Linked DNA regions of Drosophila melanogaster. Changing the gene in region 1 together with any one later gene gives a genetic interaction. Each region holds a gene or a part of one and is shown in the gene's direction. Other genes may lie near its edges.

What was found. Genes that interact genetically often act in the same process or in processes that back each other up.
Region 2: of Tpi (region 1) and Hsp83, changing one suppresses a phenotype caused by changing the other (phenotypic suppression), as found in Drosophila melanogaster (one study listed by BioGRID).

Annotation. Positions count from the first base shown.
Region 1 is NT_033777.3:30,131,653-30,136,802, reverse strand, and holds Tpi (triose phosphate isomerase), read left to right. Parts: upstream 1-2,203; 5' UTR 2,204-2,269; coding exon 2,270-2,524; exon of another isoform or gene 2,525-2,708; coding exon 2,709-3,293; intron 3,294-3,354; coding exon 3,355-3,561; 3' UTR 3,562-3,822; downstream 3,823-5,150. Other genes in the region: AdoR (adenosine receptor), read left to right, coding at 1-317, 384-1,528; CG31029 (uncharacterized protein), read left to right, coding at 4,590-5,023, 5,086-5,150.
Region 2 is NT_037436.4:3,190,716-3,198,199, forward strand, and holds Hsp83 (heat shock protein 83), read left to right. Parts: upstream 1-2,253; 5' UTR 2,254-2,652; intron 2,653-3,783; coding exon 3,784-5,937; 3' UTR 5,938-6,344; downstream 6,345-7,484. Other genes in the region: CG14965 (uncharacterized protein), read right to left, coding at 42-1,715; CG14966 (uncharacterized protein), read right to left, coding at 6,383-6,805. UniProt on the Drosophila melanogaster protein: Molecular chaperone that promotes the maturation, structural maintenance and proper regulation of specific target proteins involved for instance in cell cycle control and signal transduction. Undergoes a functional cycle that is linked to its ATPase activity.

The DNA of each region.
Region 1 (5,150 bases):
CTTTATGATCTGCTGGATACCGCTCTATACGATCAACTGCATCAAGGCCTTCTGTCCCGACTGCTATGTGCATCCCAAGCTGACGCTCTTCTGCATCATTCTGTCCCATCTGAACTCGGCGGTAAATCCGGTCCTGTATGCCTATCACCTCAAGGACTTCAGGGCCGCGCTGAAGAACTTACTCCTGAAGATGATGGGCGTGGACATTGATCAGCAGGCGGAGGCAATCCACCGCTTCTCGGTGGCCAGTCAGCATCGCCTGCAGTCCATGGACTCCAATATGCGCTCCACGCAGCCGCGCCTCTATGTGGGTGAGTGTGAGTGCGCGTTGTCTCCTTGGAACTGTGGCAAAATCCCTATAACTCTCGTAACATTCCCTGCAGATTCACCCATTTGGTTGAGGCAGCAGCAGGAGGCCCTGAAGAACTCCCAGCTCCTGCCCAAGTGCGGAGTGGTGTCGCCCTGTTTCAACAACATCAACCAAACGGTGGCCGCCGTGGCTTCGGTGACCACAGATCTCGAGCGAGAAATGTGGAACATAGTGGAGGCCTCCAGTGGCGCCGAGCTGGGTGAAACCAGCTACGAGTTCCCTTCCCCCGCTCCGGGTTCCCAGCGCAGCAGTGAACGAAATAGCAGTTCCACAGTCCCACCAGCTCCTCCTGCTCCTGCGAAGCCCTCAGTTCCGTCCGCCTCCTATGACAACCACAACTACAGTTTCAGCCAGGATGAGGACGAAGATGATGATGATCTGGAGTTTGAGGACGTATTCGTGCCGGCCAGCTCTGTTCCAAATCCCGTTCAGCCTGGCATAGATCCCGTGGAACTGCGTCGCTCCCTGGCTTTGGTCATGAGGGAGAAATTGCGATCGGATGACACGGACTCCAGGCCAATGGGCAACAATCAGGATCTTCCCATAGATGAACAGTCCAGGGAGAGACCGCTCTCCACTCAAACATCTCCCACAAATGGCCCACTTCCGGCTCTTCTGAGGGCCAAACTGCTTGCTGGCAACTCCAATAGCGCTCACTGCCTGCCAGGATCCACGGCGAGTCCTGCTCCCCAGGAGCAATCCGGTATCTTTGTGATCGATAGTGAGGCGAGTCCCGGCTCAAATGGGCACAAGCCTAAGTATCGAAAGGGCACGGCATTCACTCGGAGTTCGCTGAAGAAGAGCCGATCCTGCAACTGTAGCTCCATCGCTAAGGGACGAGGGGTCCACGACGAGCCCAGCAGTAATCTCTGCAGGGATCAGGAGTCCTCTGTACTTCCACAGCATCCGCAGCCAGCCAACCATCCCACAGAGAACTTTTTTAGTCCGCTGAGATCGGTGGGCAGTTTCATGCAGCATTCCAACTTGTTTCACTTCCTCCAGCCTCACGCCGCCCGTCCCACCTCATCGACGGCGTCGTCCACGGCCTCCACGCCCACTCCATCACCACCGCCCATGGGCCAGGCTCAGGAGGAATCGGTTCCAGTGGGTCTGACCACCTCCTCGCCGTCCCTTCTGGCGACCAGCGCGGAGAGTTGACCTTCGCGGTCGGAAAAGAAGCGGGATCAGCAGGAAAGTCCACTGGAAGAGGATCACAAGGATGCGAAAGGGGTAAGGGGTGACCCCTGAGGAAATACTCGCAAGTCAAAGCTTTTACGTTAAGTACTTTCCAGCTCTCTTAGGCTCTCTTTCGGAAACGTTGTCAAATTCTATATCGGATCTAAATCAATTAGTTCGGTAGTGAAATATAGAGATTAGGAGCTATGCGCATTTATTTTGAGTGTATGGTCATAATACGTTTCTACGGACTAGTTAATTATGTACATACATATGTTTAATGTTGTTAGAGTATTTACTGTGTATATGTCAGCTTATGTATACCTGAACGTCTGTGAAAACCAAGTTAAGCCATGCGACATGAATTTCAAAGTTGAAGTTAAATAAAGCGATTAAACCAGAATGTACATTCATGTTGTGTTTTATTTTTGTTGGTTAAATAAGTCCTGATGCGATGTATGCCTATTGGTAGGGTATACAAGTTTTTCTTTTACATATGCTAGTATAGCGGATTTTGGCAAGCCTGTTGATAAAAGCTTTTCCAGAGCTTTTTGGAAGCGACGCCAAAACTATTGGAGCTCACTTGCTCAAAGTTCCCCATCAGATGGTTGGAGTCACTGCTAAATCTAAAACCGGCAACATTTTTAAAACCCCAACAAGCCGTTTATATAATTTCAGAATAACTTTTACTACTCCTTACTTACTATTGTAACCACAATAGAAATGCCGCCTGGAGTACTCAATGATCTGAACAGGAACGGTATCCAGTGCATTGCATCAGTAACGCTTCTCCAGCGATTCCCGTATCATCGGAACCACCACACCATCCCCACCATGGACCAGAACCGACCCACTGTGGGTGGTGTTACGGCGGAGGTACTAAAAGCCGTCGTTTCGGAAGCTCTGCTGGGCAAATTCACAGCTGTTTTCCCAAAGCTTTTCAAGTGCCAGTGGAAGACTTACGAAGGTCAAAAGAAGGTTAGTACATAAGCAGACGAACTTCGAGGTGGGTGTGTGCTCTGTGCCGGGATTAATCTCGAATCTGGGAAAAATCTGAGTGGAAAAGTCGACGGCGAGCCTCCAGTCATCGAGTTACCCACTTGAAATTATCAGTTCCAAACACTCTAATAGCAGTCCCCTTGTTTTGTCCCCCGATCCGCAGTTCTACGCCAATTTCAGCACCGATTGCACCGACAGCAACAGCAACAACATGAGCCGAAAGTTCTGCGTGGGAGGCAACTGGAAGATGAACGGCGACCAGAAGTCCATCGCCGAGATCGCCAAGACCCTGAGCTCGGCCGCCCTCGACCCCAACACGGAGGTGGTCATCGGCTGCCCGGCCATCTACCTGATGTACGCCCGCAACCTGCTGCCCTGCGAGCTGGGTCTGGCCGGCCAGAATGCCTACAAGGTGGCCAAGGGCGCATTCACCGGCGAGATCTCCCCTGCGATGCTGAAGGACATCGGCGCCGACTGGGTGATCCTGGGACACTCGGAGCGTCGCGCCATCTTCGGCGAATCGGACGCCCTGATCGCCGAGAAGGCCGAGCACGCCCTGGCCGAGGGCCTCAAGGTCATCGCCTGCATTGGTGAGACCCTGGAGGAGCGCGAGGCCGGCAAGACCAACGAGGTGGTGGCCCGCCAAATGTGCGCCTACGCCCAGAAGATCAAGGACTGGAAGAACGTGGTGGTGGCCTACGAGCCCGTCTGGGCCATTGGCACCGGCCAGACCGCCACACCCGATCAGGTAAGGTCGCCCGCAGAGGCTAATCTCTTCCAGAACTGATATTTTCCCTTCCCAATTGCAGGCTCAAGAGGTCCACGCCTTCCTGCGCCAGTGGCTGAGCGACAACATCTCCAAGGAGGTGTCCGCCAGCCTGCGCATCCAGTACGGTGGATCCGTGACCGCCGCCAACGCCAAGGAGCTGGCCAAGAAGCCCGACATAGATGGCTTCCTGGTCGGAGGCGCCTCCCTGAAGCCCGAGTTCGTGGACATCATCAACGCCCGGCAGTAAGCAACGCGATCTCAAGCATCAGATCGCTTTCGGCCAGCGAACTGCCCGCGAAGGAGGCACTGGAGGGCAGGACTCCATACTCCTGCGCGCGAATGCATTACGCACACACCTAGTTGTTGTCACCACCAAGTGCAGTTCCAAATTCATAGTTACCTTGCGAGAATGCTACTCACATCCTTGTTGTTGAACGTATAGTAGTCCATTGTGTAAATCTTAAATTATTCAGGCAATAATTATGCGCTACTCATTTACTTATATACCAAACCAAACAGGTGTCTTATTTTTTGCAAGACTATTTCAGCTATTTTTAGAGCGATTGGTTGAACGACAAGGTGTCCAAAGTTGTGTGCACATATGTACATATATGTGTCACCTCTGCGGACCTTAAACCGAACAAGTTATTACTTAATTTCTGATAAGCATGCGAAATGGCAAATATTTGGAATATGAGTTCCAACTGAGTAATCGAGGCAATCATTGTATTCACTTACCTAACAAGTGAATCAAATCATTTGCATCATGTTTTTGACAATATCTTGCATAAAAGCCTTCAAGAAGAAGCAATGCATCATAAGATAGCTTAACTTGAGATAAGAAAGGAAAACAGTTTGTACTTATTATACTTTATACTTATACTCAGAGTTCATTTCTAATCGAAGTGTTCGAAGATTGTGCACAAAGTTTGGCAAATATGGAGCTAAACAAGGCAATTTCTTTGTAGCTGATAAGTTATTTAGCTTAGTAAGTAATTTATGGTTAGTAAATCAACAAAATATTATTCAGTTTTTCTCAAAACATGAACAGGCTGAGAATTCTTGAACCCAAGTGGCCTTAGATACATTATCGATTTGACAAGCTCTAGTTCTCCGTTTTTGAGCTTTTTATTGTCATTTCTGATCCTGAACACATCGATTTTATTCAGACTGGAGTTTTATATCAGAACAAATTAAATAAGTTTTTAGCCAAATCTTTAGAGAGTAAAGAAAATTTTAACTTGGTTTTAGCGATAGTTTCCCTAGAAGATCAACATGACGCAGTACTATGTCTTTGACGTTATCCTTGTGAACTCCAGTTTGCCGATTCCCCGCAAGTCCGCCAGTTTCAGTGCGGGTGGGAGGCCCGTCTACTCGGTTCGATTGTTCGAGGACTTTGAGGAGCTGTCCATGGAACGCATATTCGTGGATCAGTTTCCCACAGAGGCATTGGGTGGCTTTACCAGCAGTCCCTGTGAGCTAATAGGAGCATTGACATCCAAGGGCGTAGGCGTCACTCTCAAAGAGAACGACGAGCTCATAGGATCGGGCAACGCCACGCTGGAATCTTCAATCCTGCGCCAGCTGACAGACCCCAGCTTTTCGGTTACCCAGAGTGTTACAGTTCAACTGACCAAAGGGCCTAAGAACGACCGAGTGGGTGAGGTGGAGCTACTCCTAAAGATCAGCTCCGCTTCACCGGATATAAAGTAAGTGGTGTTAACCAGATAGGGGAAATGTAGTATTCCTATTAAATCACAATCCTCTCTAGCCACGGCTTGATTCCCTTTGGCTGCTATGACGTGTGCAAGCCTGTGGATCATTCGATCAACAAAA
Region 2 (7,484 bases), on another chromosome or scaffold:
AAATACCCCTTATATTGCCAAGTCTATAATGGCAAAATAAACTATAAGTCTAGAAACTCTTCCGAATTTTCCGTATTTTTTTTCTCCAGCCAGGAGCGTGCAATCCGCATCGAGGGCAGGCGGAAGCGCCACTCGTCGCAACAGTACTTGTACACCTCGTCGCCCAGTTGAAGTAGTTCGGTGGCAAACTCTCGCTCGTCATCCTTCCAAGTGCGTTCCTCAGAGCCGCCGAACATTTCCATGCGCAGCAATGCGGCCATCGTGGGCCCCACGTATTTCTTTATTGCCATGTATAGCTGGGGTTTGCTTAGAGAAAGAGCAGTGGGTTTGATTGCAGCTGAAGTCCACGGGGACTCCGCTTGCAGTCGTTTTAGTTTGGCATTCTCCTCAGACAGCTTTTCAAACTCGGCCTGCAGTTTATCGTACTCCTGAAGAAGCTTATCGCGATGGGCATCTTCCGATGAAGATGGTTTTTCATCTGGTTCAGACTCGTCCTCACTGTCAGTACTAAGTGGTATGTTCTCTTCAAGGTTTAGAAAAGATTCAGATAAGGTTTCGGAAATGGAATCACTCTGACTATTTTCTTTGCTAGAACTAAGATTAATTTGGATGGATTGGGTGGGTTTCTCCAACATCGGAGTCTTCTGCTCATCCCAGAATTTCTCTTGCAATTGTGTATATCGGTTCAATATCGTACCGTTCTCAGGTGAAGCGTGGGAGTCAGTCTTTTGTGCTTCTTGGGGTAGCTTCCTTTTCTTAGCCTGCTCCTTGGTGGATTCATCTTCGTTCAGTCTATCAGCATCTGCCTCCTGCATCCCACGTTTTCTAACCACAGTCCCTTTAATTGGTCGGTACTCTTTTCTAGTTGGCACTTGCTTTTCTTGACATTTATCGGCAAGCTTTGGCATTTTCATAACGTCAATAATACAACTTTTTGATTTAATTTGCTTTTCTGATTCCTTGGTGACTGTTCGCATCTTGCTTGTATCATCAGTTTGTTCTTTTGGGAGCTGCTCTTCAAGCTGAAACAACTCATTCTCGCTTCCTGATTGACGCTTTACTGGTCTTTTAATCAATTTGATGCCCAATGAAGGCTGAAGTTGACTTATGATATCTAGAATGTTTTGAGGCATAGCCGAAGCGCTTGTTGATGTTGTAGAACTCTTATGCGCCACCGTTGTTTTCTCCGTGTGTACAACCGGCTGTTCCTGCTCCGTAGCCAGCACTTCGTCGGCTTCGTCTTTCCCTTGCGGTTCCTCCTCTTCTGTCAACTCTACTGTATTTCGTTTCTTAACAACATCCAAATTCTGTGTCTCACCATCCACGAATCCCAGAGGACACTCGAAATCTTTAGGTGGTATTAGGTGTTGCTGCTTTGGAGGCGTCAACTTCACGAGAAGAGCTTCACCGTTCTGGTCGAGATTTTCATAGTCTAGTGCCAGATCCCTGTTGATCCTGAACAAAGTGGGCGTCTGCATTGGGATGAGTCTGTCCATTTTGTAGTTCATGAAGCATTCCGCTCGAAAGTGCCGGGCACAAACTGTTTTGGCTGCCAGTTTGGACGGCGGTGCATTTGAAACGTCAGGGTTTGAACAATTCCTGACCCAATCTTTCAACCTCTTCGGATCCTTAACGGGGAACTTGAAGAAGTGCATATTGGGGTTGCGGCTAGAACCCACCGGACAATCACGAAAACAACACTTAGTGCCGCCCATTTGTTTAAATATAAGCAAACAACTTTTATGTTATTAGTGGTGGAAGTGTTAGCGTCAGCTGGTGATATCGATGGGAGGCATCGATAACAGAATTGACCGAAACCAAATGATCGATATGACACTTCTTAATTAATGAGAGATTTTTTACTTGACTGGGCTTGTAGCAGGTTTTGCACAGAAGCAATTATTTTCCGGAATGTGAAATGTCTGCTTTTTAGCTAATTACAACAAAAACTTTCCAATTTTTGTTCCCCAAACCCACTCAAGTGATTTCAAATTTTACCGTCCGCTTAAAATGGAACTAGTTTATTCCAGAGGAACCAGCTTGCACCACCAAGTCTCTGAAACTCTGGAAATATCGATAGTCTGGTGGAGAAAAGTATTCATAAATATAAATAAAAATTAACAGGTCATAAGCTGATTTGTTTATTATTTACTGTTAAAACAAGTAAAATAATATTGGGAACAATTAAATTTTCCATTTTCCTAATTACAGTATAAGCCTAGTGGGCGTTTTGATATCCAATTGTAATGTTTTAAGCAATCCCAGTGGGCTTTGCTCAATCGTTCGGACCACTTAGACGAATTTCCACCAAACTTAGTTCAGTATAATTTTTGAATTCGCCCGCACAGGTTGCGCACTTTTCGACCGTATCACAACACTGATCTACCCTAGTATTCACAGGAAGTTGCATCCCTGGCATCCAGAAGCCTCTAGAAGTTTCTAGAGACTTCCAGTTCGGGTCGGGTTTTTCTATAAAAGCAGACGCGCGGCGTTTGCCGGTTCGAGTCTTGAAAAAAATTTCGTACGGTGTGCGTCGTAACAACAAGCAGCGTCTGAAAAGTTTTGTGAATTTCCAATTCTATACAAAGCAAAGTGAAAATATCTGTATTTTTACCTTTATTCTGTGAATAGAACGAAAAACATACATACAAGGTGAGTAATGCAAATTACAAGAAAAGAGTGAATAGTTTATCAGTGGCTATGGCCAAAATGTGCATTTTGCGTGGTCCTGTGCATCTCGAATGTTCTTGACCCAAATGTGAGATATTGATTTTAAATTTCTAGGAGCCAAGTTTAAGAATTTTTTTTGATTAATTAAGAGGTGGCAACGTGCAAATTAACTCAAAATGCCGGTTTCTTTTATTTTTTGTCGCTTGGACGCATCTTCCAGAGGTTTCTATGCTTTAGCATGAATTAAACATCGTGCCAAATAGGCCTTTTAATTATATATTACTGTCCTTTATTTACAATTACATGTGGTTTATAGAATACAAGATTAATTTTTGTTTAATGCAATGGTCTTTTAGCGCTAAATCGAATTATGCCGCTCTTTTTAGGGGGTGACAATGCGCAAATCACATTTGCCGCTCGAGAATGTTCTAGAGGTTTCTATGCTTTAGCATGAATTAAACAGCGTGCCAAATAGGCTTTTTAATTATAAATTACTGTCCTTCATTTACAATTACACGTGCTTTCTTTGCATTCCCATTTTAAATTGCACATGCCGCATACGCACACATGCACGCCCATGACTAATACTTTCAAGTAAAAATGTGGCGTCAGTAAGCAAATTCTGTTAAATCGGTTTTTTAATCCTATTTGCTCTATTTTAATTGGTTGGTTGCTACTAGCAACTTGCTAGGCGAATTAGTTTTCCTTTGGCTTCTAGATGCTTCCACAAACTTCCTTGGTGAAGTACGAATTTTCAATGCAATGCTCACTCACACAGACACGAGTTTGCACACAGCAGGGGTAGAAAAATTATCAACCGACCCAATTTGCATAATTATATTTAAATATTTAAATTTAAAACATTATTTTGCAACTTAAAATCAATTCTGTTGGCTAATTGAAATTAAAATTCCATTTTACGGGTTGCAAAGTGAATGCTATAATTTTGACCACCACTGTACTTGTATATGCGCATGTTAAATGAGGCATGTGCAAAAGAGAAAGAAAGAAAAAGAATAAAACCGGAGCAGCTGCTGAAAATGCAGCTGCTTTTCCTTAGTGTTGAACCCACAGACTATAACTAATCCTAATGATTTTGTAAATCCATTGCAGATGCCAGAAGAAGCAGAGACCTTTGCATTCCAGGCTGAGATTGCTCAGCTGATGTCCCTGATCATCAACACATTCTACTCGAACAAGGAGATTTTCCTGCGCGAGTTGATCTCGAACGCTTCCGATGCCCTGGACAAGATCCGCTATGAGTCCCTTACTGACCCCAGCAAGCTGGACTCTGGCAAGGAGCTGTACATCAAGCTGATCCCTAACAAGACGGCTGGTACTCTGACCATCATTGATACCGGTATCGGTATGACCAAGTCCGACCTGGTCAACAACTTGGGAACCATTGCCAAGTCCGGAACCAAGGCCTTCATGGAGGCTCTGCAGGCTGGTGCCGACATTTCCATGATCGGTCAGTTCGGTGTGGGTTTCTACTCCGCCTACCTGGTCGCCGACAAGGTGACTGTCACCTCCAAGAACAACGATGACGAGCAGTACGTGTGGGAGTCCTCTGCCGGAGGCTCTTTCACAGTCCGTGCCGACAACTCTGAGCCCCTGGGCCGTGGCACCAAGATCGTGCTGTACATCAAGGAGGACCAGACCGACTATCTGGAGGAGAGCAAGATCAAGGAGATTGTTAACAAGCACTCCCAGTTCATTGGCTACCCCATCAAGCTGCTCGTAGAGAAGGAGCGCGAGAAGGAGGTCAGCGACGATGAGGCTGATGATGAGAAGAAGGAAGGTGATGAGAAGAAGGAGATGGAGACTGATGAGCCCAAAATCGAGGATGTTGGCGAGGATGAGGATGCCGACAAGAAGGACAAGGATGCCAAGAAGAAGAAGACCATCAAGGAGAAGTACACTGAGGATGAGGAGCTGAACAAGACCAAGCCCATCTGGACCCGCAATCCCGATGATATCTCCCAGGAGGAGTACGGCGAGTTCTACAAATCCCTGACCAACGACTGGGAGGATCATCTGGCCGTCAAGCACTTCTCCGTGGAGGGTCAGCTGGAGTTCCGTGCTCTGCTCTTCATTCCCCGTCGCACGCCCTTCGATCTCTTCGAGAACCAGAAGAAGCGCAACAACATCAAGCTGTACGTGCGTCGTGTCTTCATCATGGACAACTGCGAGGACCTCATTCCAGAGTACTTGAACTTCATGAAGGGTGTGGTCGACTCCGAGGATCTGCCCCTCAACATCTCACGTGAGATGCTGCAGCAGAACAAGGTCCTAAAGGTGATCCGCAAGAACCTGGTCAAGAAGACCATGGAGCTGATTGAGGAGCTCACCGAGGACAAGGAGAACTACAAGAAGTTCTATGACCAGTTCAGCAAGAACCTGAAGCTGGGTGTGCACGAGGACAGCAACAACCGTGCCAAGTTGGCCGACTTCCTTCGCTTCCACACCTCTGCCTCCGGCGACGATTTCTGCTCCCTGGCCGACTACGTGTCGCGCATGAAGGATAACCAGAAGCACGTGTACTTCATCACTGGCGAGTCCAAGGACCAGGTCAGCAACTCTGCCTTCGTGGAGCGCGTCAAGGCCCGTGGCTTCGAGGTGGTCTACATGACCGAGCCCATCGATGAGTATGTCATCCAGCACTTGAAGGAGTACAAGGGCAAGCAGCTGGTCTCTGTCACCAAGGAGGGTCTGGAGCTGCCTGAGGATGAGAGCGAGAAGAAGAAGCGCGAGGAGGACAAGGCCAAGTTCGAGAGCCTGTGCAAGCTGATGAAGTCCATCCTGGACAACAAGGTCGAGAAGGTGGTGGTGTCCAACCGCCTGGTGGATTCGCCCTGCTGCATTGTCACTTCGCAGTTCGGCTGGTCCGCTAACATGGAGCGCATCATGAAGGCCCAGGCTCTGCGTGATACCGCCACAATGGGCTACATGGCCGGCAAGAAGCAGCTGGAGATCAACCCCGATCACCCAATTGTGGAGACTCTCCGCCAGAAGGCCGATGCCGACAAGAACGATAAGGCCGTCAAGGATCTGGTCATCCTGCTGTTCGAGACCTCTCTGCTGTCCTCTGGATTCTCGCTGGACAGCCCCCAGGTGCACGCCAGCCGCATCTACCGCATGATCAAGCTGGGCTTGGGAATCGACGAGGACGAGCCTATGACTACCGACGATGCCCAGAGCGCCGGAGATGCCCCCTCGCTGGTTGAGGACACAGAGGACGCTTCCCACATGGAGGAGGTCGATTAAGCGACCAGTCGAAACAAACAACCAAAATTCATTCTATCACTCGCATTCACATACACAATTTACTTGCGTTTCGAACTTTTATACTGAGTTTACTACGGCCGAGTTAAATTTTGTATTCATTAACATTTTGCCGCGTTATAAGCGACAGACATACGCTTAACTCATAAAAAAGCAGGAATAACTCGTTAAATGGTTAGGTTCTCACAGAACATTCAAGAGCAGTTGTCGTTTTAAGAACTTATAATTTAGAATCCAAGTAATTTATGTAAAAAACTAAAGACTACATACGCGCCCTAGTTGGTAGAGCTATATAAAGAATCGAGTATATATATAATTAAGGTTTGATGACCCGATCGATGATAAACATAAAACCAAATAAACAACAAGCAAATGTGTTTTAAAAATCTAACTTCTGAGCGAGTATTTATTGGGGGGAATAAACAATCTATGAATCGGATTCTTTGCGCAGCAGCTGCTCAATGGCCTCCACCGTGGACACTCCCTTGGTTATCATTATTATCTTGTTTCGCGATCGAGATCCCTTGTCCAAAGAAACGTCGCTCTTTCGAAGACCTAGAACTTTCGACAGAAACTTGACCAGTTCGGCGTTAGCTTCTCCCTCGCTGGGCGGAGCGGCGATTTGGACGCCCACTCCTTCAAAGCCAATTCCTGTGATTCCGTTCTGCTTAGCCCCCGGCTTGGCAAGGATTTGTATGCATATATTGCCGCTCTTATCGACTGAAATCGGACTGGCTTCCTTAGCCGGCATCGCTTTTGCATCGTTTTTCGCACTTTCAACGCCGGCCTTTGATTTCCCCTTGCTCTTCGACATTATTTGGGCGTTGACCGATGTAAACAAGCGGCGCATTAGCTTCTTGGCAATTATTTTAAATATTTTGTGTTTTTAAATGCATTTTAATAGCAACTAGTGTTTAATTTTGCGAGGTCTACTGGCGTCTATCAGCTGATTCGTGGAGAAAACCAGGGATGCGCACATATAGGGATGAGCATATCTCGTGAGTTCTCACTCACGAAACGAAGATAAAACTACATTTTTACATTCCATGTAACTTACAGATTGGACATGAATAGTACGATTCAAAAATGTATTTTTATTTTCCTGTTGAGTATTATTTAACGGTTTTCTAAACACATTCCCCCCGAAGTCACCACAACATGTAAATAAAAGTATTAAAACAAAATATGATTAGGTAAAAAATTATCATATATTCATCATTGTTATGTACTCATAGTTTCTTCTCTACTCGTCTTTGCATTAGAAAACAACGCTTTAACACTTTGCACTATTTAAAACTGCGCCGAGAAGCATCTTAAAAATGCATTTATCGCCTATAAATGATCGGGGATCATTATTCAGTTGCTTAGGAGAGAATTGCAGGAATGCACATTGCAGAGCTTACAGTTAAATCAATTAATGCAAAATGCTTTAAATGGACTTAAATTTTGTATGTGTTTTATAGGAGTTGATATTGCAGAAACGATAATAAAGCCAAGTTGTTTGGGGTCATCCTCTGGTTGCACATGTT